Xenopus tropicalis: one gene and its partners. The protein of the gene in region 1 purifies or fractionates together with the protein of each later gene. This does not show direct contact. Links are inferred from orthologs where the notes say so. Each region holds a gene or a part of one and is shown on either strand. Other genes may lie near its edges.

Region 1 (4,704 bases):
AATGAACGCCAGTGCATATATATTGCTACTGCTGCCACTATTAGAGAAAAAAAATGAATAAAAAACAAATACTACTGTACATAAGGTCAAAACCTTGCCATATTTAAGTATTATGTGGTTATGTTTAACATCATGATATCAAAATAATTTCAGTAATTTTCATATTCTCACTTATGATGCAATAATGTATCTGCAGGAAACAGTAAAGATATATCAAAACCTCTATTAGGTTTCCATAATTTTGCCTCTGCTGAGGCAAAGAACACATGTATAAAACAATATATACTGAGGCAAAGAACACATGTATAAAACAATAAAACAATATACCCAGCAGATTTACCCTTTACTAATTTAAACAAGTAAAAAACCTGATACATTAAACACTAACAATACACTTTACCACATGGCTAATGAATACAGTTACGCTTTGTAAATCTATTTATTAATAATCAGCTGTGCAATACATATGTTCTATTTTTTTTTTTTTTAATCTACACCAACACATTTTATAGACAGTAAGGAGAGAAAGCACAAAGTGAAGGATCCAGATACTAACCCACTCATCTTGCAATGATTTCAGGATTGCTGGAATACTGGTTGCAGAAGGTGGTTTAGGACGAATTGGATGGGCTACTGTAAGAAACAGGATAAAAGACCCTTCAATAAACTAATTGAAGAAAAAGTAAAAACATCGCTCCATTCTTTGCTGTGATTAAAGAAGAATTAAACTTAAAAAATGTTGTTCTATTATCTGTTTAGACCACTCATGTGTAATTTAGAGTATAAATGGATACACAGCACAATCTATTTATTCTTATGTAGATCTACTAATCAATTTTTTTTTGCGACAGGTCTAGGTATTATAAATATCTAAACTTGTTACCAGTTTACATTTTACATACAGTAGCTCAAAGACAGGTAAATAAAGACAAAATTTAAATAGTCTGTAATATGACCTATATGTAAGGCCCAACCACGATATAGAAGTTCCCCTTTTTAAGTCTTTTGACACAGTCAACCAAAATAACATTAAGAGTTTTGTAAAAGTATTTCATAGAACTGTGTACAAAAAGTGCAATACAAAAATATGTGGATCCATATATTATAGGCTAATTAAAAGCAAGAAATTGGCTTACTAATGCATAATTCAGTTATTTTTCTTCTAAAAATCTGTAAAATTATGTGTATTCACTTAGTGAAGTTTGGGAACATACACTAATTAAAATGTAAAATTTGGCTTTGGAAGCAATGTGCCATCTCTAGCTACAATTAGCATTACTGTGCGTTGTGCAAACGTAAAATAATACCTTTAAATGACCCAACAGAAATTATAGTTTTTTGGTTTTTTTTTGTGTTAGGTATGGCTAATTTTTTTTTTGGGGGGGGGGGGGGGTTACAGGTGAATGACAAGTAAATTCCCTATACAGGTATGGGACCTGTTATCCAGAATGTTTGGGACCTTGGATTTTCCGGATAAGGAATCTTTCCGTAATTTGGATCTCCATAACTAAAGTCCACTAAAAATAATTTAAATATTGAATAAACCCAATAGGATAGTTTTGGCTCCAATAAGGATTAAATATATCAAGTACAAGGCACTGTTTTATTAATACAGAGAAAAAGGAAAAAATTAGAATTATTTGCTTATAATGGAGTCTATGGGAAACTTTCTGGATAAGGGATCCCATACCTGTACCATTAAACTGAACACAAAGAAAAATAGCATTAGACGTTTTCACAGCTCTACTGACCTTTAATGTCAATCAACTGATCCTCACTTAAGGGCTGATTTGTTACTGGATCTGTCCCATTTTCAGCCAAATACTTTTCAATAAGGCGGCGATCAAAAATATGACCCGACACCGGGGAAATGCAGGGGCGATCTGTGACCTCATTACTGACTACAGGCAAATGAGAAAAATGTGAATTTTTATAAACATGTTTAGATTATAAATGGCATAATTGCTTATAAGTCTAAACATAGGTTTTAAATACACATGTACTGTCAAATACAATTATGTCCTAAAATTCAAGTGGTAGGAACAAAAGCATTAAGTATTTAGTACCTTTCATTAAAGTTGGAGTCTAACCATTTTATACATTAATGAATTAAATGTTTTGTATGCAAGCAAAGGTACACAAATTACAATCTCTTACATTATATTTCTAAATCATGGTCACAATACCATATTTCTAACAGAGCTATCCCCAGCTAATAACCCTGCTTGCATTTTCTGAATGCTTTAAATATGACTATACATCAATGTATATACAAACCCTGTCCGCGCTCCTGAATCAATGTCAATACAATTAATTTGGATACTCTGAGTATACTAATGTGAAAAAGCAAACTTGAGGGAAAAAAAAAATACCACTTATCTATATCAATTACTTTTAAGTGAACTATAATTAAATATATCTTTGAGCTGCCTTCCTCTACCTAATCCTTGTAGTGATTAAAATCTTAACCCCAAAGAGAGCGCCAACTTTTTGGGGCATACATCAATGTATACAAATCATACATCAAGATATTACAAAAAATATTAACTTAACACAATTAGCAAGCTCCAGATACAATACAACTTTTGTTGACATAAACACAAATTTAGGGAAAAATATTTTCTACTATTAAATAACTTGCATTGAATTTCTATATATAGGACCTGTATACCAAATATCGTATCAAATGACACGTTGCATCCACACAGCCGATGCTCAGCAACTTTATACAAGCATTTTATGAATCCGGTAGTGCTATTCTACTGCTGTTTTATGTTGCACTCACTATAACATGTCAAAGACATCTTCCAGGTATCTCTTTGAGCAATATGGTTAGGCGAGAAATAGCGTTGTTTTCTTTTTAGTGATGCTGTTCAGCTAGGACTCCCTGTTTTCAGACTTAAATTGGGCAGGCCCTTTGGCGGGCTATCTCCGTTCTACCGAGGTAAACTTGGAAACAGCGTGTAACCAGCGTCGGCAAAGTACTTCCGGTTTTCTTTGTTTCTACATCCGCTCTACAGCTAGACGTTTTACGTAAAGCAATGAAAGAAGAGATAGACTCGGCGTAGTGTAGCCGGATGTGTACAGCTGCAGTTCCTGGCAGCACTGAAGTATTTCACAGCGCTTTGTGATTATCATACGTGTCAGTCTCTTCTTTAGTTGTGTTTACTATCTAAGGGCTTCCCCACATATATGCATGTTTGGTGCTATTTATATTAATTTATTATCTTTATCAATTCTTAGGCTGCCTTTAGAGTCGGCAACCTGAGGGTAAACGGAATACATACAAGATTTGCATAGACAGACTACCTGATAAGTTATTTAGGCGAAAGCCTGCTGTTAGCAGTCTAAAACATCTATCTCAGAAATACCTCCCAACATTTGAAAAGTAGAAGGAGGGACAAATATTTCAGGACACGCCCACTTTATGGCCACGCCCCCCAACCAGGCCCATTTTACAAAACCACACCTGAAAAACATAACACACACAAAGTGCACCAGAAGATAGGCATGGTGGCCCCAATAATTTTATGACATTTATCACATATGTAGCCCTAAGAATTTCATTACGCACTGTAGCACCTGTATATCATGACATTGGTAGCCAGGTGTTACGTTTTGCATTGGTGGCAGGGCAGGGACACCCTAAAACATTGCTAGCCAGCCCAGGGCCCCCTTAAACATTGCTGGTCCTCCCCCATTGTCCCCATAGTATGGGTTGCTCCCCACTGCAGCATCCTCCAGCTCCCCCCAGCATCCTCCAGCTCCCTCCCAGCGTCCTCCCCTGCATCCTCCAGCTCCCCCTTAGCATCCTCCAGCTCCCTCCCAGCACCTTCCCCAGCATCCTCCAGCTCCCTCTCAGCATCTTCCCCAGCATCCTCCAGCTCCCCCTAGTATCCTCCAGGTCCCCCCAGCGTCCTCCCCAACATCCTCCAGCTCCCCCGCAATGTCCTCCCCAGCATCCCCCAGCTCCCACTTAGCATCCTCCAGCTTCCTCCCCAACATCCTTCAGCTCCCCCCAGTATCCTCTAGCTCCCCCCAGCATCCTCCCCAACATCCTTCAGCTCCCCCGCATCCCCCAGCTCCCCCTTAGCTTCCTCCAGCTTCCAGCTCCCTCCCAGCATCCTCCCCAACATCCTTCAGCTCCCCCCTAATATGCTCCAGCTCCCCCGCAACATCCTATTCAGCGTCCCCCAGCTCCCCCTTAGCTTCCTCCAGTTCCCCCCCAGTATCCTCCAGCTCACTCCCAGCGTCCTCCTCAACATCCTTCAACTCCCCCGCAACATCCTCCCTGCGGCTCCCCCTGCTCCCCCCCCCACCCGCCTGCTGCCTCTTGCTGCGTCCCCCGGCTCTTCTTCTCCCCATGATGTCACACTCGCGTCTATCGGGAGCACCGCAGCTTCTGCAATGCATTCACATAAATGTTAGAATGGAAATGAGCGAGAGACACGAGTGTGACGTCACAGGGAGAAGAGCAGAGAGAGGGGAAATTTAGAAAGCGGGGCAATTCAGACAACGCGGGACATTTCAAAATCAATCCAGGACTGCGGGACAGGGTGGAGAAATGCGGGACAGTTGGGAGGTATGCGAAAAGTAGTATAATTTGCAAAATTTTGCAGAGCACCACTCAGTAAATATACACTCATTCCTTTTTTGTGGTTAAGACCGTTTTTAAAGGGATTCTGTCATAATTTGTATGGTATA
Region 2 (4,597 bases), on another chromosome or scaffold:
AGGTTAATAGCTCGTTTAGAGAACCTTTTCATGATATGCTAATTTTTTGAGATAGGAATTTTGGGTTTTCATGAGCTGTATGCCACAATCATCAATATTAAAACAAGAAAAGGCTTGAACTACTTCAGTTGTGTGTAATGAATCTAAAATATATGAAAGTCTAATGTTTATCAGTACATTACAGAAAATAATGAACTTTATCACAATATGCTAATTTTTTGAAAAGGACCTGTATGTGAAACAAGGTCTCCAGTGTAAGCATTACTTACAATACAATTGGTTAACTACAAAACTACAGCCAATTGCTCACTATAGGCAGGATGCTAGCCAAATAGTTACAGTAAGGGCAAAAGCAAAACATGCCAGACTTGGAAAAGACCGGCTATTCTGTAGGTTCTAAGTTATATTTTTATTAAGGTTTTTTGTGGACAATTTCCACTCCATAATTTTGCCCTGCAATACTGAAATATGACAAGGGTGTTTTTATGCAACTACGACAGTGTACAACAGTTATATTTTGTGCAATACTTACTGGTTAAACAGCATAGATAGCATTAGCTCATTTGTTTCCTCTGGAAGGTTGGTGAGGAAGAGGATGTGGTTAGGTGGGTTTTCAGAAATCTAAAAAAAAATAAAAAACAGCATTCAAAGTTATGACTGAAAAACTCAGACACAGGCAGTTTCTGTGGACAGCTCTTGAAAGACACCAGGTTTATTGGGAGTTGCCAGTATATTAAAGGAGATGTATCCTATAAAAATAATGAATGTACCAGTGAATTTTACTCCTCTAGATATAGAAGGATTGCGCTTAAAAAAGTTGTGCTTCTGGCAGGGACCATTAGGAAACGCCCACTCTTCATTTTAAACATGGTCAGAAGAGAGGATCTATAGGGAGCTCCAATAAAGGGGCCATTTTTACAGATTGGATTAATTTTAAGCACAAAGGGAAACCAGCACCATATATTATTCATAATTGCCTACAATATTAGGGTTTTCCCCATTTATCCAATATGTCTCCTTTAAGCACCGCACCCCCTCCCCCGAAAGCTGCAAAGAATAGTTAAGCTAGCAGACATCAGGTACTCTTTATAAAAGCTAGCGAGACTATCACCCACAGACAGATCTGGTGATGTAGTCTAACTTACTGGCTGCATGGGTGCCATCTGCCCAGGCATCAGGTGTCCATGGGGCATGCCTCCTGGTGGGATCTGTCCTGGTGCCATCCCTGGTGGTGGCATCATACCAGGGTGATGCATGTAGGGTGCCTGCCCAGCCATATGCATCATGCGTGGAGCTTGAGTCATACCAGGTATATTTTGCATGCCCTAAAAAATAAATAAAATTATGGCTGTGCACAACATAACGGGTTTCTTTCAAGAAAAAAAAAAAATTGTATGTATTTACCGCCATCTGTCCTGGAACGCCTGGAAGCAACGCAGCACCTGGTAAAGCCTTTTTAACACCCGGAGCTTCCTGGCCTTTCACCTTCCTCTTCTCCTGCCTCTTTCTGTCTCTTTCCACATAGGTACCTTTCATTTTGGCAATGATGTCAGAATCGGATTTTGAATATTGTATTCTCTGGAGTAAAAGCAAAATCAGCATAAAGACTAAAATAACCAAGTTTTAATGGAATGGGAGGAGATACTGTATGGAAACTGAACAGAATGTATCCACCACCACCCTACCCAACTTGGCTTTATAGTTCTTTTTTTCTAAAGAAATAATGAGCACAGATAAACAAACAAGCCATATATTTAATTGCACTGGGTGTGGGATTCCTTTAGCAACAATGTGCACAGCTATCCATGCAAACTACCTAAGCAGATGTAAACTCCCACACATTCACAAGTATTAACCCAGGAGCCCTGTAAAAATATTATGAAGGATGGTTATTGAAGATGTTATTAACTTATGTACAATATCCTTTTCAATATGGGAGTGCATAGTTTCTTCTCAACCCCTCAATGAAAATTAGCATACACCCCAAATATGCACGTACAAAGGTATGTTTACTTTATAGGCAGGGGGATTTGGAAAATTGTTTCTAGTCCTTTAATCTGCCAGTAAGATGGTATATACACCCATGTCCTTTCATATAAATATATGGGTCATTCCACTGTCACTGACCATTTTTCCATAAAGTGTCAGATATCATTCATGTCTCTATAACCATAGACTTATCCTAAAAGAACACTTTGAAGTAAAGTAAATGAAAAATGGGAAAAAAACTACAATAAATACTAACCATTGGTTTATCATAAAAGGGAAACCCCTGCATTGACCTCAGAGCATTTGTGGCACTGCTTATTTCTTTAAATATAACAAAAGCCTGTCCTCTCATCTTCAGGCTGCGAGACACCAAGATATCCAGAATCTGACCAAACTGTGAGAATATGGCATAAAGAGACTTCTTTAGCTCTAAAGAGAAGAAAGCAAAAGTCAAATCTTTGGATTTTCAAAGACCAAGTAATTCTAAATAGCACTAAATTGCAGTAATGTAAACACTGGTACAGAGATTTAGGTTGCGCTCCAGGGATTGCTACAGCCTTAACTCACCATCTTTTTTAATTTTCTCATTCAGGTTGTTGATGTAGATTGTGTTATTAGGCCTGACTTCTTGAACAGCCATACTTCCTCAACAACTTAATCTGAAGGGAGAAAAAAAGGGTTAATTGCATCTTAAAATAGAACAATGCCCTGGTATAGTCTGTACATAAGCCCAGTTATGTATGAGCAGAGTGTGCATATAATATACCAGTGCCTATACTACACGCAGACTTATTTACTTGTGCAAACTAAGGTCTACAATATATTTTCCTTTGCGAGCCATATAGTAGTAACATAGTATTATTAGTATTATCAACACCCAGATCATAACAAAACTACACAGCCCCTGACACAGCCATGCAAAGAACACAGGGTAACATTAAAGTTGAAATATCACAGCCGGGACCTGATTGTGAGAGGCCCGTAGTTGTTGTGGCACAGCTAGGAAGCGGGAAGATATAACAATGAACGGGACGGAAGCATACTTACCCTCAGCCTGGATATGATACAGTTAAAAGGGCCGCCAAATTAAACGCTGGGCTTGTGCTACGATACGAATACGGTACGCTGGAAAAGAAATAAACTTCCCGGATGGAACGTACAATAGCAGGAAATATTTCAAGATAGCAACGCAAGTCGCATGCACTAAAACCCAATGTGATTAACTGAGATTGCCGCCACCGGAAGGCCTTGTACCTAAATTCATTCAACGCCCAATTTACGTCTAACTTAGGCCGCGTTGCTACAGCAACTCTCGACGTCTTGCAGGTATATCATTGGTGACCTACCCAAATCTTCATCGATTGGCTGCAAGCCATAAGTGAAAGCCATTTCACCCTATAGCAATAACCCAAAGCAAGCCGCGCGACCAATGAAATCGGAGGCCGAGGCGTAGAACGCGGTGCAGCTGCTAATATATTCCTCCCGGAAACAGGAAACGGACTCCTGCGGCATACGTGACTATATTGTTTTGCTATTGTTGTAGGTGTTCGTGAATATGATTTCATGGCGTTTATAGCTTAGGTGATAGTTTTCAAGATACTATCGTTGGCAATTAAAATGAATAAATTAACCTGTACAGATGAACAAGGGGATACATATATGGTTTAGTACACACGTGGTCAAAGAATGTTTCCGAACTGAAGCCGGATCTGGTAGTTTTTTTCACCAACATGCTATAAAGTACGGTGTCAGATCTTGTTTACAACCTGTAGCTAAATCTGCAATGTAAGGTTTAGAAACGACATATTCCTCAGCGTCTCGGAAAATGTTTAATCTCTCACACAATCCCTCCCAGTAGCAACACAATTTCATCTCCGTGCAATGGCATTACTAGAATTACAGGGACCCAAAGTCAAGTCTTTTTAGAACCCCAAATTTGTATTAAAATGATCTGTTTAATGCGCCTGTAATAAAATAGATTTTCAGTTAGGACTTCCTTGGGGAGTTGATACAATGACCTGTTGCTTTGAATTGCTAGGAAGTGACACCCACAGTTCAGGGTCAGAGTAGAGAATTTAGCAAGGTCAAGATCTATTTTTACAGTAACCAGACCAGGGGCAATGGGTCACTGCAATAGCTTGCATTTTGCACCCCAGTTCTGTCCAAAGGCTGCAAAAAGGTGTTCATAGCACAATTTGCAGGGGCAGGTATAGAGACTGAATTTGCTACTTGAACTGCAAAGCTCAGAATCCTCCTTGCAAGATATTTGCTTGGAATTGTATATTTGCCATAGTTCTGGTGACAATATTTTGATATCCACTACTGAGGCCTAAATATCACATACTAATAGAATGTGGGCTATATAGTCTTTGCCTATATATTGCAAAGTATACTATATAATAATGCTTGAGGAACCCACAGACTCCAGACTGCTCTTCCCTGTACTAATTGCCAGTGTAGTAGTCTGGTTATGAGTAGTAAAGTATCTGGAGTCAGCTTCAGTTTTCTGGTCATTATTATTATTTATATAGCACCATCCCTTTACAGAGATTATACATCACCACATTAGTTCCTGCCACAGTGAAGCTAACAATTCACACACAGCAGG
Region 3 (4,044 bases), about 53 Mb from region 1:
TTCCCCCAATTTTCTTTACACTTGGATTATCGCTTTACATTTCATTCTTCCACCCCCCCCCCCAAACTCACTAAAATGTTGCAACAGATCAGTACACCTCAAATTGCTACTAATTTCAAGTGCTTTCTATTTGAAGATTACGTTTCTGAAGGTGAACGTCTCTTTAAGGGAATGGTGAGTGTTACAAGGGGGATTACTGGAATTCGAGTGCCCACCCGAATGGTTCACAGTTACTTACCTTCTGGAACACAGCCCTTCATTGCAAAGGGCTTACAAAAGTAAAAACATTTTCTTTAAAATTGCTAAAACAAAACTAATTTTTTGTTAGAGAATTAAAAACTTACAGTGCATATCTCTTTCATGTTCATACTCAATGAAGGCATATCCACGGGGTTTCCCAGACCGCTTATTGTATACCATATGAATCTAAAATAGAAAGAAATTACATTTGTAAATGAAAACCGATTGGCGCCCTCGACACACCAATCATCCCATGAGTAAAGCTGTCAGCTAACAGATACTGTATAAGGCCAGAATGCTTTCTAGTTGTCATTTTGCATACATCAGCACAAAATCACCAACCACACACTATTGGACTCTCTGCTTTTAGAATTAGAAAATGAGACAAAACTTTCTAAACTATTTACAGACGGCTATGGAGCTTATGACTTATGCCATAACAGTATAAATAAATGCGTGAACCAGGCCAAACAGGTCATGTAGTACAACTAGAAAAGCTTGTCTTATTGTTTTAAGTGAAGTCAAAAATTTTTTTTTAACACGAACAATATACATACCCGTTTTATAGGTCCATACACCTCAAACTCACGTCGTAGCTTAGACTCTGTTGTATCATAATTCTGAAAAACAAATCATTCGGTTCATGAAAAATGCTATAGGCTTTTTTCCCCCAAAAGGCACCAGGAAAAGTCATATTTTCTGACCAAAACTCTACAGGGTTTAGCACCCCTCCTGTAGCTGAATTGGTGTAAAGATGTCAGGACTTGTTCAACATATAGCGAACCAAAGACATCATACCCCAATGGAGAACAGATTCAAGTATCGTCAGTGATATGCTAGAACATGCTCTAAAGGTGGCCATACACGTTAAGATCCGCTCGTTTGGAGAGTTCGCCAAATGAGAGAATCTTTCTCCCAGTACTCCCACCTAAGGCGGGAGATATCGGAGTAATCCAATCATTCGGCCAAACAACTGGATTACAAGATGGGAATAGGAGCCATCGGAACAAGGACCACATCAATGAGCCGATGCAGTCCCCGAACTGAAGGAAAAAAAAAAAAAACCTGCCCAATTTTCAGCCAGGGGTCCCCATATCGAGCCAAATCGTTTAAATATGCCGATCTATGGCCACCTTAAGACACTTAACTATAATAAAGGTATGCTACCTTAAGAATTTTGGAGCAAAGGTCTGTCTAAATCATTTATATAGCACTTTTCCCCCACAGCACTCAAAGTGCTTTTACAGCCAGCTAGGCAGCTATTACATACACCCTGGGACAGCAAGAGATTAAGTCCAAGGTCACAAGGATTTGCCAAAAGGAACGGAATCAAGGTCTCAAGCATAAGATCCTACATCACAGCCTCACCACTTAACCATATACATAAAAACCCACACACAGTTACCTGCTACCTAAATTTCCTGACTGCTACTACAGTGACTTAAGGATTATTCTGACAAGAAACACAAGAGCACAAATAAAACTTACCACTCTGGCAACAAAAAGGGTTTTGAAGGCATCTCCTTGAGCATTCTGATCATTGTGTGGATCCCCTATCAGGTGAAAAGAACAGAAATTAAAAACAAAATATTTTATGAACGGTCTTCCAAATATGTAATGTTGACTGAAAACATTGACAAACTAAGATAAACTCAATGATACAAACTATACTTTTCCAACTGAAAGACAGCATGGTAAATAAAAAGGGCAGAAAATGTTACTTGAAGTAGCACTTACATATTTTAAGTTCATTCTCGACATCCTGCTGTCTTCTTTCAATCTTCTCTCTTCGCTGTTAAAGTGATTTAAAAGGTTTTAAGGTAATTCACACTACAAAGCAGCTGCAGGGTCATTTTAGCACAACAGACAAGCCTACTATCATTTGAAAAAGTAGAAATAATCGCTGCAAAAAAAAAAAAAAAAAAAAAAAAAAAGGTCTGGCCAAGAGTTTGGGGCCACTCCACAAATGGAATGGTATTTTTTCACTTAACCAGAAAAGATGCAGTCTAATACAGAAGCTTCTGTTGGATGATAAAAGCAGAATCACTGTTCCTGACCACTTTCCCACCTACTATAGTAGAAGAGTGGATAATCGCAAAAACCTCCTGTATCATAAATCCTAGCTTGAGTCATTTAACTTTTATATATTTTGGTTGCTGACAAAAAAAATAATTTGAGCTTCCCAGTCAAGTAATAACTGTTCTTTTAAAATGTTTTTATCCGGTTTAGTAAATTCCAACTGAAGAACCTATATATGGTCCTGCTGCCCCCTGATCAATTTACTATATCTACTAACATCCATATCCACTTTGTAGTTTGCTAAAAATGGAAGCTCTTTCTTTTTCAGTGCAAAAACTGCTCTGTATATAAGAACCTCATGTCTAGTTGATTCTCTAAGCCCCATTTTGAACGTTATATGCCACTTGAAAAAATGACAGTGAATGTTTACAAACTTCTAGAGTTGTGGGCACACAAAGATAACCACAGAAAGAAATGTAAAACATCTATGCTCTCAAAAATACAGTATTATCAGTGAACATCTCACCTTCCTTTCCATCCGCTCCTCGCGGGTTTCTGCTCTAGTTGGAGGTGGAGCATCTCGAGGGTCCTGTGTACAATAACATTTATTATAAGATTTATGTAATTTCCTTTGCAGGTATAAATCATTTAGCGGGTTCATATAGCTGTGTACTCACCTCAAATTCTCTTATGTAAGGAGCAATCCCACAGTATGGCTGATTGTGGTGTTTTTCATGGGGTAGTTTATCTAAAGGAGGGAGGTATGGTACTGGATCTCTAGGTGCAAAGAGCGCCAACAAGTTTGGAGGCAAGAACTGTGTCATCCTGAAGACCTGTATAGAATAAGAAAAAATCAACTGAATAATGTTTACACAAAAGATATTTTAAGAACATTGAAATCATCTTTATGAAAATATAAATAGCTCCTAGGGCCAAATGATCTGATAATGACTGGGATACATGCCACTGGGGCGAGGTCCAGATCAATGATCCGATGCAGTCCTCGTTCTAACAGGAAAATCAACCATGCCCGATTTTCAGCCAGATATTGGCCAGAGAGGCCCATCGGAGAGCCTCATACACGTGCAGATAAACTGATTAATAGATCTGAAGGGAGCTGAATGGCTATCTTTACACTTAATTTTAATAACATGTATTAAATCTCCTCACATTTAATCTGCTCTATGACTTCAGTTTTGCACCTTATTTTAAATAAATTTTCTACTGTTGAAGGAAAAGTCAGTGTGCGCATGATCACAGCTATTGCTCTGTACCCGGAACTCCTCATTAGTCTATGTTTACACTTTTTGCAAGTGAAACGGCACACAGTCCAATCTGAAAGCAGGATTATTCCTTAATTTACAGCGTAAATGTCTTTATTCTGTATTTTTTGATCATTGAGATCTGACCCCCCAGCCCCTTTTTTCAGGGCTATAAAAATGTCATGACCATCCCTAAGTGCAGAGATTTAATTCCTATATACTCCCCATTTTATGATGGAATTAGACGCCAAGTATCAAAAAACAAACACCCCAGGGCAACCAGAGTACATTTCTTGCACCTTTATGTATTAATTGGCAAAGCATACTGGATCATTAAAAGGGGTGGCTCACCTTTAATTTAACTTTTAGCATGTTATAAAATGGACAATTCTAAGAAACTCTTCAACTGGTCCTTATTATTTCGCTTATAGTTTGAATTATTTGCCACCTTCTACAAACTCGTTGTAGCTTTCAAATGGGGGGTCATCGAGCCCCTAAACCAAGAAAACCTACTGCTCTGTGA
Region 4 (4,044 bases), on another chromosome or scaffold:
TGAGATTTTTAATGTAGGAATCTTGCCATGCATGAAAATCCCAGTCAAATCCAGTTGCACCTGGAATCCAACATAGACCTGAAAAACCAATAAAGAGATCATCAGCATATAAGGTTGTTTCACAAAAATCTAAAGAACTTTTAGATGGTATATTAATAAAAGTATCTAACAGGTTTAATTTTCACTGAAAGACTGGTTTCATCCACAAAGCTGTGTGCAGCTTAAAGAAAACAATGGTTGCAGCAGACGTTCAGATATTCTGTAAGTCCATAAAATGTCACGTGGCAGACTACTCCGCAATTTTACTTTTAAGAGCATTATTATACATAGTTATCTAAGTGGATTTCATTAAAAATGGTTGAAAACCACCCCAAAATGATCTGCGATTTAATGTATTTGTGATTTCATGTCTTTTATTTGCCCTCTTTCAGACTTTTTATACGTACGTTGGCTCTGTTGATTGTGGGAGACCACCAAAGTGTAAATCTTCTGTTTGGTATCTGGTTTAAACCAGAACGCTGAGCATTGGTCAGTTTCTTCCATTTCATTGATTCTTCAAAGCCGCTGGCCTTTTCCCTGGTAAATGTGAAAGTACATAAAAATAAGACATATTTAATGTTTGGAAGAAGGTGTTCAAGGCCATGAGGGCTTTTTAAAGGACAGCTCAAGCCCATAATGGATTACACGATCCATAATGTTCCTAAAGCTATATAGACCTACAAGATTGTTTTAAAGGCTTTGAAATAAAGGCTTATTAAATAATAATGTATTAATATAACAAGTATTTAAAGTGATCCAGAGATTCCTTACCAGAAAAGACCCTCCCATGTGGGAAAGTAAGTGCCTTTAAATAGCGTGTGCTCCAGTATACCCTCCACCCCTCCAAGGGCCTGAATCATATCTGTGCGGTAGTTGTTCAGATTCCATAGCTTTCCATCATGACGCTGATGTGTCCACCAGAACGGGTTTTGTTTCAGCACCTGCAGGATCAAAGAACATTAAGTTCAGTCGATGTAGGAGCACCACATGCAGTAATACAACGAATGCTAAGCCTATATTACCTGGTACTGTTTAAAGTCTGTGCGAACTCTCCAACCCTTGTCATAAGCAAGTGTGTGCCGATCTTTCTGAAACAGTGTATTAATACGTGGAATTCCCCTGTCCCATGAGTCTTCTAAGTCTTCAAGCGTCAGGCGTCTTAAAGAGAGTGTTGCTCACATTAGTGCAACTTTCACAAAACAGTATATACTTATGCTGGCAATCAGGGTGGGACATATTACCTGTTTTGAGCAATCGCCTCCTGCCTCTTTAAGGCATACTCAGCCCAGACTCTCTGAGAGTCTATAAACTCACTTTCCCAAGGCTGAATGTAACGATACAGATTAGGAATCAGTTGATCCTCCTCGTGACTCATGCCAGAACGGAAATGGGTTATGCCAACATCTGTCTGCTTAGACCACCTAGTAAAAAAAAAAAAAAAAAAAGTTAAGAGGTGAAACAAGTTACAGAATAAAAAAAAGCTACTTATGCTAATACTGAAAATGTAAGATATTTTACAATACCTTAGGTCAGACTGTGGAATTAAAACATGTCCCATGGACAACATGCCCAAACCTCCAAGTTCCTTTGGTGTGTAAAAAACAACAGGCGGGAACCTGCTTGGCATTTTAGAGTTCAGCCCAATCTTTATTCTTGTTTGGATTTTGTTCTCACATTTCACCAGCAGATCAAGTAGTTCTTGGGTGTTGACCACAGCCTCACGGAAATAAGTCATTAGGCCAATAAGTGCTGTATTCCACTTGTTCACAATCTGGAAGTTAAAAACTGTATTTAGATACAAGGTATTATCTAAGCAAAAAAAAATGTTGAGTTTCCAAAATATCTTATTTTCTTATTATATCAGGTAACACAAAATCTATGCATTTGCAAAAACACTGGTCTATTTGCTTTGTGCTTACTTTTGTAAAGGTTGTGGACCCGGAAGCCATAAGAATTTGACGGACTCTGTTGTGAAATCTCTGCATGGACTCGTCATCAACTCTTAAGAAGCACTGAGCTGTGCGTTCTTTGGTCACCTAAAATAAAAATATTTTATTAATCTCTTATCTTAGGGTAAGGGTAATAAAGGTAAGCTCTTTTGTAGCAACCTAAGCGTCTTTGTGGCAACTTACTTCATTTTGCAGGTTCCAGACACCATCCTTGTGCGTAAACTCTTCATAGCTTGTGCGGCATTTGGGAAGTATGCGGCATTCAAAGCCGCACATATTAAACAGCAGGTTTGGATTGTCTTTACTGTACACAGACACAAAACTGTTCTCCCACTGCACAGTGGTGACAGAACGAGGCAGTCTATTTTTTATATCCCAAAACACTGCACGGCCCCTGAAAATAAGATAAATAGTGAACACTTGCTCCTTTTACCAAGAGGCTTGGGTTGTGGATTACAGGATAACTACTGCAGGACACTTATAAAAATGACTGGCCAAGGCTTGCATAAAGGACTGTTAGAGTAATGGGGGGTGGGGGGAGGGGTAACAGACTTACAGATTTACATCATGTTTCATGAGGCGCATTCTGGCATCCCTTGGCCAACACTTTTTATTGTTGTAGCCCACAATATTCTCATTATTGGGATCTGGATGTTCTGTTAAATATCTCTGAATAAGGTCTCTGGCTTCATCAGCTGAAAATCTACAAATAAAGAAAAATCAATCATAAAATGAACTAGTGTTTGAAAAATAGAAAACATTTAATGCCCACTGGCCGATGGACATCAGTTAGCCAAGGAGGCCTTAAATGTTTGATCACAGATGATCAAGTCTTCAACCAAAAGTGTCTGAATACCCTCTGTTCCCTGAAAGAAGTCTCAAGAACATGAAGCATTCCCACTAAGACCCCATTCCAGGAGTAAAGACTTAAGTTCACATAAGATTCAGAAAGTGCTTCTATACTGTAGTCTCAGGCTAAATTAAGCCAGGGATAAATTACTTGCCTGAAAAAAATGTGAATGCGGTCAATGTATCGACAAAACAGGCGGATAGGATGGGCCGATTCTGTTGCCACATCTTGGAAACTTAGAAAGTCATTTGGCATTTGTGGTGGCCCAGCCATTTCACTAGCTCTGTGTAAACCAAGAACCAGAAGATCCATCACCAGACCATAGTACTGGACAATAAACGAAGCAAACTGGAGACCACGAATAATGCCATAGGAATTTGTGTGGTTCATATCCTGCAAAACAAAGTAAAACAATAAGATTCAGCTTGTAAGAAGACTAATGTAAATAAATGTATATATACTTGTAACATTTTATGAAAGCCTCAAGGTGGAAGAACCAGTTTGCAGGGATTGTTTTTAGACACATATTACCAGCTGGAGTAGGCTGCTATACCCCTTATCATTACTGGCAGCATCCGGGTGTGCACTGACCTTGTAATTTATCACAACGTTGTTTTTTGCAGTCATGTAATCAGCAATATTGTGATCAACAATTAGACGCAGCAGACGATTCAGCAGAGTCAAGTCAATCTTTTCATACATCTTTTCAAAGCGTGACTCCAGCATCACATTGCATTCACCTTCTGTGGTGTCCCAAACATCCTGCAGGTTATTTATGCCTAGAATGAGACATCCAACAAAATTAGAGCAGATAGAAAAATCCCTGAGAATGAAGCACAGACCAGTATTACTGCAAACCATTTGTTTCTCAAAAGGTCAAGACCTTATGTGCAATAGGAATTCTGATAACAATAACGTAGTCCCACCCAGGGATACAAACTTCTATTATTAAGCAATAACAAAATTATAGCTAGAATTTTAAGAACATTTTGTGGCTTTAGAAATTATGCAAATGTATTAGTGCACGGGACAAATGCATCAGATACTATGGTGCTTATGACTCCATCAATGCTTCATTTTGCCCCTCCGTATATTGTCTGTCCTTATGTTGAACATTGCCAACGTACATGAACAAGTACTAAGCAAGTTATGCACAACATTACTATTCAAGTGGCAGCTGAGCCACTAATGAATCAAAAGGTCAAA
Region 5 (4,588 bases), on another chromosome or scaffold:
CCATTTGGATCAGGCCCTGGTCAAAATCAAACCCAAGACATGATCAGACACTTAAGGATACCCACAAATAGGAATTGTAAATAAAATGAAAACTTAATTACAAGAACATATCAGGACAGAAACGCCTATATGTAATAAAAGGGCACCATGTTTGCCGAGGTGCAGTAACTCATAGCAACCAATAAGATGTTTGCTTTCAAACAGGTGACCAGTAAATGCTATGGGTTACTGCTCCTGGGCAAACACAGTGCTTTTACTCCATAACCCCTCTAAAAAGCCTTGTACACTTTATCATGAAAGGCATAATGCTTTTTGTATCCTGACAGGTTAGTGTAATAAAGTCTACATTATAATTTGTTTGTTGGTCTCTAAGTGCCAGCTCATATCCTGGGTTGTCTCCTCAAACAGCAAGTATGGGCAACGTGCACCCAGGCCTCATGTTATTCTTGAGCTTCCACTAAACGGTGTTTTTTTGTATGTGGTCAGAATCAAATCCAAGACAAGGCTCTTGGAAGCAGCAAAGCTAACCCCCCATGCTGCCCTATATGTACCCCATTTTGCAAACAGACAAATCTAACAGATTCAGTTGTACTACAGACTGATATATACGTATAGACATATACGCATCTGCTTATATTCAGGAAACTTGCCAATGTTATTAATAAAGAAGATAGATAACAGACATATTAAACATGTTTTTCCTCAAAAAGTTTGGGCACCCCTTGCCAAATGGCATATGTAATTAAAGGACATGTCATCCCAAAATAAGTTTTTTGCCTAATAAAAGAACAAAATTCTATTCAAGGATTTTTGCCCACGTTTCCTTGCAGATCCCTGCAGAGATATTCTGTGGCCTGTGCTATGAATGTTTATGATCTACCAACAGGCTTGCAGATAAGTCAGGGGATTGTGAGGGCCATTCCAAAACCTTCAGCTTGATCACTGCCTTTTCAATTAGAAAAATTAACTTAATATGTATTTTGGTCAGGGAGGACCAAATGTTTGCATTCAACTGCATGCTGTGTCAGTGGGAGGAATTTAGCATTTGCCCAGAGAGGCAAAGTATCACTCTGTACCCACAGAGAAAAATTCATTATCTTTCTCTAACTTCATTTTAGTATATTCCTGCTAATTTTAGTGAATGTTACATTTACTATTCTAGTACTTTATGTACTTGTAATAACTCTATAGAAGTATGTTCCCCACTTCTTATAATGGTGGAGGGCAAGGAGAATACAGATTCGGGGGTGATCTTTAGGGAATGCCCCTTTGCTCCCCTAGTTAGAGCTAAAAAAAAAAAATTGATCCTATACAGCAAGATTTGGAATAAAGACTTGCTTACTAGCCCAAATATCTATGAAAATAAATATGAAAAATAGTTTTCCTATATCTGTAAAGCTATAACAGGTTTAGGGGCTAGCAGACAAAATGCTTGACCTCAAAAAGCTTTTTTTTAACCCAAAAGGAATTCCCATACTACTTTTTTATGGAATATAACCAACCTTAAAGGAAATCTATACCCACAAAATGAATACTTATCCAACAGTTTATATTATGTTAAGTGAACTATTAAAGAATCTCACCAAACCGGAATATATATATCAGTAAATATTGCCATTTTACATCTTTTTCCCTTGAGCCGCCATTTAGTGATGGGCTGTGTGTTCAATCAGAGATCAGTTGACAGGAAATAATGCAGCTCTAACTGTAACAGGAAGTAGTGTGGGAGTAAAAGGCAGAACTCTGCCCATTCATTGGCTGATGGGGCCTAGCATGTATGTGTGCCTTGGCTTGTTTGTGTGCACTGTGAATCCTATGATCCCAGGGGGCGGCCCTTAATTCTTAAAATGGCAATTTTCAATTTAGGATTACCCAATGGCAAATACTACTAAATAAGTATATATTAATAAAAATGGTTTGTTTAGATGAAGCAGGGTTTTACATATGAGCTGTTTGTGCAATATATTTTTATAGAGACCTACATTGTTCGGGGGTATAGTTTTCCTTTAAGCAACCCTCAGTAGCATCCTGGCTTCAACACATTTCTTGTTTCTCAATGGGACAGATTTTTTTGCAAATATCCTACTGGGGTCAGAATAGGTATGTCAGTGTGGCATGCAAAAATTTCAGCGATTCGTGTTCTCAGGGGGAGGTCTGTAGGAATGATCCCCCATATGTAATAAAAGGCACTAAATTTGCCCAGGAGCAGTAACCCACAGCAACCAATAAAAAGTATCCATTAAATGATACCTGTTGACTGGTTGCTATGGGTTATTGCACCTGGGCAAATTTAGTGCCTTTTATTACATAATCCGCATGTGTTTGTGAAACCCATGAGATACAATAAACTACAGCAAAATACAACCAGTGTAAGTCAGTGGTTCCCAGGCGGTGTTGCTGAAGCTCTTAGGGGGCCCAACTAAAGGGCAGATAGGGAAAATGTGGGAAGAATGTTTTACTCCTGGAAGGCCACTTACTATGACTGATACTCCGGTGGACCCCAGCCTAATGTTTGTTCCGACAGAAGGTCCTGACCCAAACCGGCCTGCCAACCTGCGGTGTAAGTGGTGCCTCAACTGAAACTCAAAGTTTGGTATCTTTCCCTAAACTGGGCTGCCCCTATTTTGCGCTTCATTATATGACGATAAACTGCACTAACGTAGCGCGAATACAGATACAACGATTGCCTACGTGGAATCGCACAGAACGTACGATCTGTAAATCTATCCCTGACAACACCCTCCCTCCCCCGCATCAATAGCTACTCCAGGCCGAGGCCTTTCAGGCCTACACCAGCCCAAACGCAATGTTACACAGCTTACACGCTAACTACTTCCCATACTCACCCACAGAGCCGCCACTCTCCTCTCTCCCTGTGATTTCACTACCCGGGGACTAACGGAGACCCGACGTCAAAACGGAACCGGAAGTCCTACGAGCATGCAGTCTGGCGCCCACTCTGACCCGCATCACGTGTCCGAGAAACCCGCTGCACGCTGGGATTTCTTTTCCCAATAACTTTATTAGCAACGCGCAATCTCCGCACAGATGGGATTTGGCGGGCTGATGTTACCCACGGAATACTATTGCTGAAGCTACAATATAGCCAAATATACAGCATTTAGCATTGTTCAGTACAAATTTTCTTCATAAAAGACTCTAGTAGAGAACTAAGACAATGTGTGATAGTGGCCCTGTTAAAGAGTAGCAAATACTGTCAATTTGGATTCTGGCCAATTCCTATTGGGGTGCTGTGACCTTAAACTATTAAAAAATAGCATTCAGGTTTTGTTTATTAAAAAGAAATCCCCCACAAAAGTTTGCCAACCTTTGGTCTAAGGGGCCCATTTATCAAAGTATGATCGCTTCCAAATACAAAAAAATCATATTTCATACTGTACGTATTTTCACCATTTTTTTGCTAATTTGCAAGACTTTTTTGTACTATGCATCAAAATTTACGTGACAAAACGGTATTGTCGCGCAGAGTACAAAAGTTTCGGATTCATTCAAGCTTCGGTATGGTGACTTTCCTTGGGTCAGGTTGGAGCTGCAGAGTGCCATTGAGCCCTATGGGAGACTTTCCTTGGGCCAGGTTGGAGCTGCAGAGTGCCATTGAGCCCTATGGGAGACTTTCCTTGGGCCAGGTTGGAGCTGCAGAGTGCCATTGAGCCCTATGGGAGACTTTCCTTGGGCCGGGTTGGAGCTGCAGAGTGCCATTGAGCCCTATGGGAGACTTTCCTTGGGCCGGGTTGGAGCTGCAGAGTGCCATTGAGCCCTATGGGAGACTTTCCTTGGGCCGGGTTGGAGCTGCAGAGTGCCATTGAGCCCTATGGGAGACTTTCCTTGGGCCGGGTTGGAGCTGCAGAGTGCCATTGAGCCCTATGGGAGACTTTCCTTGGGCCGGGTTGGGGCTGCAGAGTGCCATTGAGCCCTATGGGAGACTTTCCTTGGGCCGGGTTGGAGCTGCAGAGTGCCATTGAGCCCTATGGGAGACTTTCCTTGGGCCGGGTTGGAGCTGCAGAGTGCCATTGAGCCCTATGGGAGACTTTCCTTGGGCCGGGTTGGAGCTGCAGAGTGCCATTGAGCCCTATGGGAGACTTTCCTTGGGCCGGGTTGGGGCTGCAGAGTGCCATTGAGCCCTATGGGAGACTTTCCTTGGGCCGGGTTGGAGCTGCAGAGTGCCATTGAGCCCTATGGGAGACTTTCCTTGGGCCGGGTTGGAGCTGCAGAGTGCCATTGAGCCCTATGGGAGACTTTCCTTGGGCCGGGTTGGAGCTGCAGAGTGCCATTGAGCCCTATGGGAGACTTTCCTTGGGCCAGGTTGGAGCTGCAGAGTGCCATTGAGTCCTATGGGAGGCTTCCAAAAACATGCACAGAAGGTTCAAAGTCAGGTTTTACCGCCATTTACAATTGTTCGGATACGAAAATTTCGTGACTATCGGATCACAATTCGCAAACAATCGTTTCAATATGAAAATTTCGGAACTTTCGTATCGTAAGTACGAAATCTTCATATTCAAACGAACGGAATTTTTTGTGACTTTTGCCAACATCAGAAACTATCGGATTTCTTGATTTGGATTTT
Region 6 (4,537 bases), on another chromosome or scaffold:
GAAGAAAATGTTTAATGTTGCTAGGAATGTGATATTATATAACATACTAGAGATTAAATGAAAACTACCCCTTTAAATGTATCCAGTGTTTCAGTCTGTCAGCTCAGTAATCCAGGTGCAGAACTGTTACTACATTAGTTGATTCTCTTTAGTATATAAATGTAAGCAACTATTGTATCAATTAGAACAGCTGACTTTAATGAAACTCAGCTTACACTCAGCAGGGTCAAAGATGTAAAATGTATCAACTCATTAGTTGCAGATTTGCTGCAGGGAGACATGAGGTGAAAAAAAACTGTAAAATTCAATATTAAAAAAAATTGAAAGCAATTGGAAAAAAAGTCTTCATTTCTGGTGTACTATCTGAAAGCAACTGAAAAGCATTTGAAAGGAGAACTACTCCTTTAATTTAAGCATATATGGGGAAGCTTACAACTGCCTGGATTTTCCTATATCATCTTGACAATAAGCCACAGTTCAGGGGTTTATATTAAGGATTCCAAGAAACATTATCATTCCATATATTATCGCCATGCTTTGTTTCAGTCCTACTTAAATGTTTATTGTTATCCTTTTACTTATATATCCATGACACAGACATAGGAATTATACATCATTTACATCAGTCCCTGGTTCCAAAGGACCCATTCACACACTATGGTCAATTTTTTCAGAGCCAATTAACCTACCGGTATGTTAAAAAAATAAAAGTCAATCACAGCCCTGCAGTCACACAAGCAAATACAGGATTCAGTTCCCTATCAGGTCAGCCTAGCTGCTGATTGGTTCCTATCCTACAGTGTAGTGTGCTGGCCCCCCTGCACAACCCAGGAAAGGCAGAAGGAAGAGGAACACATTGGCATGACCAGTGCCAATAAATCAGCCTAAAACACTACTTTTTAAAGCACATTTCTTCTATATTTAGATCAGTACAAATCATTGGCACAATACTGTTTTTTACACGATATGTCCCCTTTAAAATAATCAAATCACATGGACAAAATATTTCTTGGTACAGTAAATGGTTACTATCATCTATATATATACACAACACATATAAACATACATTTTCTGAATCTGAAAGGCATCTGTTCTAATTTCATTCCTAGAATACTGCAAAACCTTTTATGGCAAAACGTATATTTTATTAACAAATTCATACTCTATAAGGCTACAGCATAGTGGTAAATATACAGCAGTTTTATATTGTATGTACTTGAATTAAAATCATCACTACTCTGAAATTTCAAACAATTGACATTTCACTAAATATATCCTTCAAAAGAAAATTGCCTTGGAAGAATGGCTGGTATTTAAAAATATTACCCTTATAAGGGTTAAAGATAAAAACAAGTAGTTCTATATAAATACAGTACATAAACAGAACTTCACAGAAGACCTGAAGGAAAGTGCAGAACAATTCATTCTCACCTGAATGTCATTATTTTATCCATTTCAGCTTATTCGGAATAAACTAATATTTACTACTATAACTTCAGATGCACAGTGTTACATGCACAATTGGCGCATTGACATTGACAATCCAACACCATGGGCAGCACATTGAACACATTTTATAAGTGGTCAGAAACTTGTAAATAACTCATGAAAGGATAAAGTTACGTTAAAAACAAGCACACCATTGTTTTTCTTGTGAAATTCCCAATAAGTTTGATGTGTCACATGACCCTCTTCCTATTGAAAAAACAAAAGTTGGATCCAAAATGGCCGACTTCAAAATGGCCAGCATGGTCACCACCCATCTTGAAAAGTTTCCCCCCTCACATATACTAATGTGCCACAAAGAGGAAGTTAATATCACCAACCATTCCCATTTTATTAAGGTGTATCCATATAAATGGCCCACCCTGTACACCTATCACATTTATTACAGAAAGACATTTTGGCACTGCCACTCACTTAAGTCGTCTTTCTTCCTGCATCTGTGGCTTGGTTTTTTGAGCTTTGTCCCCCATGCGAGTTCCTTCCAACTTCCCCACCAACGAGAGAACCTCTCCTGTGGGCTCATCTCTGCGGGTACGGTCTATCAGGGAGCGATCAGCTTGAAGTACAAGGTTAGAGTTCTGCATTGCAAAAAATAAATAAATAAATTAGAATTCAGTGCAATAAGCTAGGGGCTATGAAGCTAATGTTTAATTAAGTTCATGTTTACCTTTTTTGCTTCCAATAACACAATGCCATATTTGTTTTCTAATTAACTATAGCTAATTAGATTTTTAGTAGTTTTCCCTGGAATAATGTCTGCTGTGCTTTACACACACTTTTGCAATAAGATCCATTAAAGAAATAAGGAGACAATTTAAGTTACTTTCTCTTTACCTCTCTTACAGTAGAATCACAATTTTACAGTTTCCAAGATTTACAGTTTGACCCTGGAAAACTAAAATCAGGGTTCTCTTGTACTCTTTATGACCCAATACATATTTATAAGCTCTAACCTGGCATGCATGCCATATAAACCATGTAATTTTAATGTAATAATGTAATGAGAGACATCAGTTATCAAATGCATTATCAGAAAGCATAATTGTTGTGTCTAAAAATGCATGGCAGATTCTGTTAATGCCTATAAGAGGGGTCTGGATGAGTTCTTGAACAAGCAGAATATCCAAGGCTATTGTGATACTAATATCTACAGTTAGTACTAGTGGTTGTATATATAGTTTATGTATGTGAGTGTATAGATTGGTAGGTGTGGGTTAGGTGTGCTGGGTTTACTTGGATGGGTTGAACTTGATGGACTCTGGTCTTTTTTCAACCCTATGTAACTATGGTCTGATGTAAACATTGGCTGCCAACTGTGTGTCATATTGAAACTGTAATGCAGCTAAGAGTACAAGCAATGAAACAGCTAAAGCTATGGCATTGTATGCAACTGTGTAAGAACTCAAACTGGCGGCCCCCTATTAATATTCAACAATAGCTACGTCAACACTGTGTTCAATTCCTTCTAAGAATACAATTACAAAGGAAGCAGACTCAGCGATTACAGGAGTCCCAATAGAACACTGGCTTACTCTATTAAATATGTTCCAGAGAAGCCCTACGCGTTCACCCTAAAGCTCCGCACCTGTAGCCGAACTACAACTCGCACTTCTACGTGGCGAACCACAGGCTGAATATTCATGCTAACATCTTCCCAACTCCACTTCTCGTTGCTAACATATTCCCCCTAACAAACTCACCGCTTTGTATTCATACTGCAGGCTTCGGGCTGTTACATCCGCCATGGTTCACTCTGCTGCCCGGCCGTGTTCGCACTCGCAGGGCAAACAACGCGCTCCAGACGAAGTTTCCGGCCCTGAGTTTCCACTTCCGGTACAAGCATAAGCCGCTTCCGTCGACCATTTTTTTCCTTGCAACTTTATTGAAAATCACATACGACCAGTGAAAGGATATCTATTTGTATTAGGAGGCTGAAATAGTTGTTTCAGCTCCATGTATTTTGCACTTAAATATATGTTTAACAAGATATCCCGTCCCTGTTGATAAAAAGCAGCTACACTACATTATACTATATATCCCCACGTTTTACTGTAGGTATTGACATACTAACCTTAAAGAGTTGGCGCTCATGAAACACTACCAGTAATAAAATCAATTTATTTATTGCACAAAAATGAGAAATTCATATATTAAAAAATATCAGTAAAAAACACCTATATTTTTTAATATATGAATTTCTCATTTTTGTGCAATAAATAGATTGATTTTATTACTGGTAGTGTTTCATGAGCGCCAACTCTTTAAGGTTAGTATAAGGAGCACTTTTTGGATTAGTTAGAGGAGGGCAGCTCAACTACATAATAATTTTCCTATATAGCTCACAGAGGTAAACCCTTTTTTTTTTTAATGAATGGAAAAAGCACATTTTGTAATTAATCACTAGTTTATTTAGAAGCGCGGATCAGGTTTGTATATGTAGGTATTGACATGCCATATCAAGGGTTCTGCATAACACATTGGCCTGTATAGGAGGAAGACACAAAAGCCATTGCCCCAAAAGAACCATGTAAAAGTACAACTGGTGTTTGGCAAAACAGATGGGGACCCAGAGAAAGCTCTTCTTCCAAATTTCAAGCAATGGCATAGTCCAAGTCCCAGTCCACCTGAGAATCTGTGATGCTATTTGAAAACGGCGATGACAAGGATCATCTCAGTTACCAGAACCTGAAGCACAACTACTTCACATAATGGGCCAAAATGACTTTCGAACAGTGTACAAAGTTGGTATTAATCAACATATAACAATATTATTTTAACAAAATAGTCACATTAAAAATTTTTTTTGAGATTAAGTGCTTTAAAAGAAAAACCAAGGAGAGCAGGATTTCTTATTCAATAGTCAGGGGTATGAATAGGTTTTCAGTGAACTATGTATGACTTTAAAATATACTCCTTTATTGCAGGAGTTCAACCTCATGTGACACACAAAAAAAAAAAAAAAAAATGCGCTGTAAAGCTCGGTGTAATGTATACATCCAGTTGAAAATCTAGGATTTTTCAAACCAATAGG
Region 7 (4,044 bases), on another chromosome or scaffold:
GGTTGAACTTGATGGACACAGGTCTTTTTTCAACCCTATGTAACTATGTAACTATGTAACTATTATATTCAGCCACTCAAATTCCAAACTCTTAATCTACCTTGTAGTATGTTTACATTGCTAGTGTTAGGATACCAGATTCTAGTCATAATGAACAGCCACCTGCAACATAAATCTTAAGGTGACCATACACGTTAAGATTTGCGTTGATCTTCTCCCGATATCCCCACCTACGGGTGGGCGATATTGGGCAACTGTAGGCTAATTCAATTGTTTGGCCCTGGGGCCTAACGATCAAATTATAACAACGGCAATGGGCGCAGTCGGTTCGGGGACCGCATCAACGAGCCAATGCGGTCTCCAATCCGACTAAATCTTCTAACCTGCCCAACTGATATCTGGCCAATTTCAGGCCAGATATCGGTAGGACATGCCCGTCGTTCCTGCCCCTACATGGGCCGATAAGCTGCCGAATCAGTCCAACGGACCGATATCGGCAGCTACAATTGGCCCGTGTATGGCCACCTTTACACAGCTGTGTACAGTGCATTAGTTTGGTTATAGCATTTTAGTAGCAAGAAATTGCCACGTTGTGTTTAGCTCCATGGCACTGAACTTGGGTACATCTGCAGATATTTGCAGTAACCACTCAGCCGCAGGCTGTCACATAAAATCCACTAAATGCTAGTACTCCAATAAGCACCAATAGTACAGCATGAAGAAAAAAGCTCCAGGTTTCGGCCCACAACAAGGGGACAGAGCAGAGAAAACAATCAGGTATAATTTAGTTAATAAGAGGTATATATTTATTAACTAGCGTAGATTTTTTGTGAAGCACCAATAAAAACATCTAGTTCTGTAACTGACCTGGTGTGTCCATAATATTGAACAGGTAAGACTTCTCCTTGGTGTCTGGAACCACAATTGTCACAGGTGTACTCTTCATACCAACTCCTCTCTAACGGAAGAAGATTAATCTGGCATTATCTTGTGCAGGTGCACTTAGATATGAAGTGCCTAAACACAAACTCATTATCTAATGAAGAGTACAGCAGCAGAGGAAAAGACTTACGAAGGACAGGAAATTGCTATGAAACGAATACTGCTCAGGTTAGTACATGGCAACATTCCAGTTTGCTATGGCCTATAAAGAAAAAACTAGACCAGTGGTTTCCAAACTGTGGGGCTGGCCCCCACAGAGGAGCATAAAGTAGTCTGACATCAGTAGTAGGAAAGCTTTTGGAAGGGGTAATAAGGGATAGGGTACTTGAATACATTGCAGTTCACAATACTATTAGTTTGTGCCAGCATGGTTTTATGCGTAACAGATCTTGCCAGACTAATTTAGTCGCCTTTTATGAGGAGGTGAGCAGGAACCTTGATGCTGTAATGGCAGTTGATGTCATCTACTTGGACTTTGCCAAAGCGTTTGATACAGTAGCTCACAGAAGGTTAATGAGCAAATTGAGGAATATTGGCCTAGAACATAATATTTGTAATTGGACAGAGAACTGGCTGAAGGATAGATTAATGGTAAATGAAACATTTTCTAATTGGACCAGTGTTGTTAGTGGAGTACCGCAGGGGTCAGTCCTTGGTCCTTTGCTTTTTAACTTGTTTATTAATGACCTGGAGGTGGGCATAGAGAGTACTGTTTCTATTTTTGCTGACAACACTAAATTGTGCAAAACTATAAGTTCCATGCAGGATGCTGCCGCTTTGTAGAGCGAATTGACAAAATTGGAAAACTGGGCAACAAACTGGAAATTGAGGTTCAATGTTGACAAGTGCAAAGTTATGTACTTTGGTAGAAATAATATAAATGCAAACTATCTACTGAATGGTAGTGTGTTGGGGGTATCCTTAATGGAGAAGGATCTAGGGGTTTTTGTAGATAACATGTTGTCTAATTCCAGGCAGTGTCATTCTGTGGCTACTAAAGCAAATAAAGTGCTGTCTTGTATAAAGAGGGCATTGACTCAAGGGATGAAAACATAATTTTGCCTCTTTATAGGTCCCTGGTAAGGCTTCACCTTGAGTATACAGTGCAGTTTTGGGTCCAGTCCTTAAGAAGGATATTAATGAGCTGGAGAGAATGCAGAGACGTACAACTAAACTAGTAGTGGGGATGGAAGATTTAAGCTATTAGACTGTCGAGGTTAGGGTTGTTTTCTCTGGAAAAAAGAGACGCTTGCGAGGGGACATGATTACTCTGTACAAGTACATTAGAGGGGATTATGGGCAGATAGGGGGTGTTCTTTTTTTCCATAAAAACGATCAACGCACCAGAGGCCACCCCTTTAGATTAGAGGAACGGAGCTTCCATTTGAAGCAGCATAGGTGGTTTTTCACGGTGAGGGCAGTGAGGTTGTGGAATGCCCTTCCTAGTGATGTGGTAATGGCAGATTCTGTTAATGCCTTTAAGAGGGGCCTGGATGAGTTCTTGAACAAGAATAGTATCCAAGGATTTTGTGATACTAATATCTACAGTCAGTATTAATGTTTGTATATATAATTTATGTATGTGAGTGTATAGATTGGTAAGTATAGCTGTGTGTGCTGGGTTTACTTGGATGGGTTGAACTTGGACTCTGGTCTTTTTTCAACCCTATGTAACTATGTAGTGGCATAAAGATCAGTTAGGGTAAAAGTGGAGGAGAATGGCAATTTTCTCTCCTAGATGCTCCCTGAAGTCCAGCTAGAGAGTAAGGATGATGGCTTATTTGCAGAACGACATGATGACCAAATGACTAAATAATGGATGTCAAAGACTGAAAACCTCTAAATTAGGTCTGAACCAGGTCATAACAGCACTGTAACCACTCCCTGAATAAGGAATCGTTTCAAGTTAAAATCTACTTTTTAACTTGTGCATTTGTAGCTCTATACGAGTATAGCACAATTGTTTGGGTGTTGCATCACCTCTTCAATAACCTAACAAGCATTGGCATGTTAGAGATGAAGTAACATGACAGCTACAGGCTGCCTTTCACTACATTAGACCATCTATAACAGTAGTACAGTACCGCCACTTACCTCCTGCTCGGTAAAAAGAATATCTGTGTAGCAAAGCTGAAAGGGAACAACAGCAGATCAGTAGGATTGAAATACTGGAGACATCTCTGTCTGTAAGTTTTCAAACAAACAGCAACGAACTAAATAATTTTTTCCTTGCCATTAACAGGGGCCAGACAGGAAAAAAAATCTGGATTACTCACATCTTGGTCATGGCGCTTGCGGATCTCTGGGTGCGTTTGCTCAATCAAACAGTCCACAAAACAGGTCTGGGTAGAAAAAGAAATGTAATGTCAGATGTTACCAACCGCTATATAGCAATAAGAGGGGAGACACCCTGATAGCAATATATCTTAATGTGACATTACAGTAACAATGACCCAGTAAAAGCCCAGCCCCCGAGTGACAAACACCAGTGGAACACAGCTATAATGAATAGTGGCTATCAAGCGCTTAGCAGTTATAGCCATTATCATCATCAGGACTAAATTTTGATCTTTGTGTATCAAGTGGGACAGTTTTCACCATCCATTCTGATTCCATGGTATGCCTTGTTAGTCTACAGGCTTTTAAAGCTGCCGGCCCTTTCAGCTTTTTAGTAGGAACATTTTATTTTAAACCACGAAAAGGAGCCTACACAGAACTGGGCAGCTTTCAGAATTGATGGCACTATGTACCCTACTTATTAGAGAGGCACTTGCTTTTTTTTTTTTTTTTTTTTTTGCTGCAATATAAGATCAGTAAAACATACTGGAATAGGTTATTCTGCACAGTCCATCACAATACCAACTTCTTTAGATATACCGTATATAAAAATATATTTTCTGTTGTGATGTAGATAATTTTTGTTTGTTTTAAAAAAAAAAAAAAAAAAATCCCCAAGTTTCTGATTGTTGAGGGTTAAATGAGGTCTAAGTAAAGTAAGAGCAAATGTAAGACAGCTCTTGGTGCATACACTTAGGAAGATGCTTTTAGCCTGCGATAGCTCCAAGCCTTTCATCTTCCCACGACACTGGCTGCAGTGCTTTG

The links.
Region 2: the proteins of prpf19 (region 1) and snrpa fractionate together in Homo sapiens (co-fractionation; 3 studies listed by BioGRID and IntAct, with this or other methods). This does not show direct contact. The link is inferred for Xenopus tropicalis from reciprocal best matches to the Homo sapiens genes PRPF19 and SNRPA.
Region 3: the proteins of prpf19 (region 1) and snrnp70 fractionate together in Homo sapiens (co-fractionation; 3 studies listed by BioGRID, with this or other methods). This does not show direct contact. The link is inferred for Xenopus tropicalis from reciprocal best matches to the Homo sapiens genes PRPF19 and SNRNP70.
Region 4: the proteins of prpf19 (region 1) and prpf8 purify together in Homo sapiens (affinity purification with mass spectrometry; 5 studies listed by BioGRID and IntAct, with this or other methods). This does not show direct contact. The link is inferred for Xenopus tropicalis from reciprocal best matches to the Homo sapiens genes PRPF19 and PRPF8.
Region 5: the proteins of prpf19 (region 1) and prpf3 fractionate together in Homo sapiens (co-fractionation; 3 studies listed by BioGRID, with this or other methods). This does not show direct contact. The link is inferred for Xenopus tropicalis from reciprocal best matches to the Homo sapiens genes PRPF19 and PRPF3.
Region 6: the proteins of prpf19 (region 1) and snrnp200 purify together in Homo sapiens (affinity purification with mass spectrometry; 3 studies listed by BioGRID and IntAct, counting the BioPlex papers as one, with this or other methods). This does not show direct contact. The link is inferred for Xenopus tropicalis from reciprocal best matches to the Homo sapiens genes PRPF19 and SNRNP200.
Region 7: the proteins of prpf19 (region 1) and eftud2 purify together in Homo sapiens (affinity purification with mass spectrometry; 3 studies listed by BioGRID and IntAct, with this or other methods). This does not show direct contact. The link is inferred for Xenopus tropicalis from reciprocal best matches to the Homo sapiens genes PRPF19 and EFTUD2.

The regions. Positions count from the first base shown.
Region 1 is NC_030683.2:60,626,293-60,630,996, forward strand, and holds the start of prpf19 (pre-mRNA-processing factor 19), read right to left. Parts: upstream 2,934-4,704; 5' UTR 2,805-2,933; coding exon 2,786-2,804; intron 1,902-2,785; coding exon 1,752-1,901; intron 634-1,751; coding exon 557-633; intron 1-556. UniProt on the Homo sapiens protein: Ubiquitin-protein ligase which is a core component of several complexes mainly involved pre-mRNA splicing and DNA repair. Required for pre-mRNA splicing as component of the spliceosome.
Region 2 is NC_030684.2:78,498,199-78,502,795, reverse strand, and holds the start of snrpa (U1 small nuclear ribonucleoprotein A), read right to left. Parts: upstream 3,271-4,597; 5' UTR 3,037-3,270; intron 2,976-3,036; exon of another isoform or gene 2,954-2,975; intron 2,649-2,953; 5' UTR 2,630-2,648; coding exon 2,557-2,629; intron 2,419-2,556; coding exon 2,246-2,418; intron 1,579-2,245; coding exon 1,405-1,578; intron 1,326-1,404; coding exon 1,146-1,325; intron 622-1,145; coding exon 533-621; intron 1-532. Other genes in the region: UPF0692 protein C19orf54 homolog, read left to right, coding at 3,629-3,701. UniProt on the Homo sapiens protein: Component of the spliceosomal U1 snRNP, which is essential for recognition of the pre-mRNA 5' splice-site and the subsequent assembly of the spliceosome. U1 snRNP is the first snRNP to interact with pre-mRNA.
Region 3 is NC_030683.2:113,685,236-113,689,279, reverse strand, and holds part of snrnp70 (U1 small nuclear ribonucleoprotein 70 kDa), read right to left. Parts: intron 3,093-4,044; 5' UTR 3,084-3,092; coding exon 2,937-3,083; intron 2,849-2,936; coding exon 2,786-2,848; intron 2,033-2,785; coding exon 1,978-2,032; intron 1,794-1,977; coding exon 1,729-1,793; intron 861-1,728; coding exon 798-860; intron 427-797; coding exon 345-426; intron 1-344. UniProt on the Homo sapiens protein: Component of the spliceosomal U1 snRNP, which is essential for recognition of the pre-mRNA 5' splice-site and the subsequent assembly of the spliceosome. SNRNP70 binds to the loop I region of U1-snRNA.
Region 4 is NC_030678.2:45,530,553-45,534,596, reverse strand, and holds part of prpf8 (pre-mRNA-processing-splicing factor 8), read right to left. Parts: intron 3,618-4,044; coding exon 3,430-3,617; intron 3,232-3,429; coding exon 2,993-3,231; intron 2,692-2,992; coding exon 2,545-2,691; intron 2,383-2,544; coding exon 2,172-2,382; intron 2,076-2,171; coding exon 1,959-2,075; intron 1,811-1,958; coding exon 1,563-1,810; intron 1,461-1,562; coding exon 1,281-1,460; intron 1,198-1,280; coding exon 1,062-1,197; intron 981-1,061; coding exon 811-980; intron 577-810; coding exon 447-576; intron 79-446; coding exon 1-78. UniProt on the Homo sapiens protein: Plays a role in pre-mRNA splicing as core component of precatalytic, catalytic and postcatalytic spliceosomal complexes, both of the predominant U2-type spliceosome and the minor U12-type spliceosome.
Region 5 is NC_030684.2:127,698,364-127,702,951, forward strand, and holds the start of prpf3 (U4/U6 small nuclear ribonucleoprotein Prp3), read right to left. Parts: upstream 3,007-4,588; 5' UTR 2,847-3,006; intron 1-2,846. UniProt on the Homo sapiens protein: Plays a role in pre-mRNA splicing as component of the U4/U6-U5 tri-snRNP complex that is involved in spliceosome assembly, and as component of the precatalytic spliceosome (spliceosome B complex).
Region 6 is NC_030679.2:125,100,043-125,104,579, forward strand, and holds the start of snrnp200 (U5 small nuclear ribonucleoprotein 200 kDa helicase), read right to left. Parts: upstream 3,345-4,537; 5' UTR 3,252-3,344; coding exon 3,207-3,251; intron 2,085-3,206; coding exon 1,921-2,084; intron 1-1,920. UniProt on the Homo sapiens protein: Catalyzes the ATP-dependent unwinding of U4/U6 RNA duplices, an essential step in the assembly of a catalytically active spliceosome. Plays a role in pre-mRNA splicing as a core component of precatalytic, catalytic and postcatalytic spliceosomal complexes.
Region 7 is NC_030686.2:17,869,758-17,873,801, reverse strand, and holds part of eftud2 (116 kDa U5 small nuclear ribonucleoprotein component), read right to left. Parts: intron 3,285-4,044; coding exon 3,219-3,284; intron 3,073-3,218; coding exon 3,037-3,072; intron 959-3,036; coding exon 868-958; intron 1-867. UniProt on the Homo sapiens protein: Required for pre-mRNA splicing as component of the spliceosome, including pre-catalytic, catalytic and post-catalytic spliceosomal complexes. Component of the U5 snRNP and the U4/U6-U5 tri-snRNP complex, a building block of the spliceosome.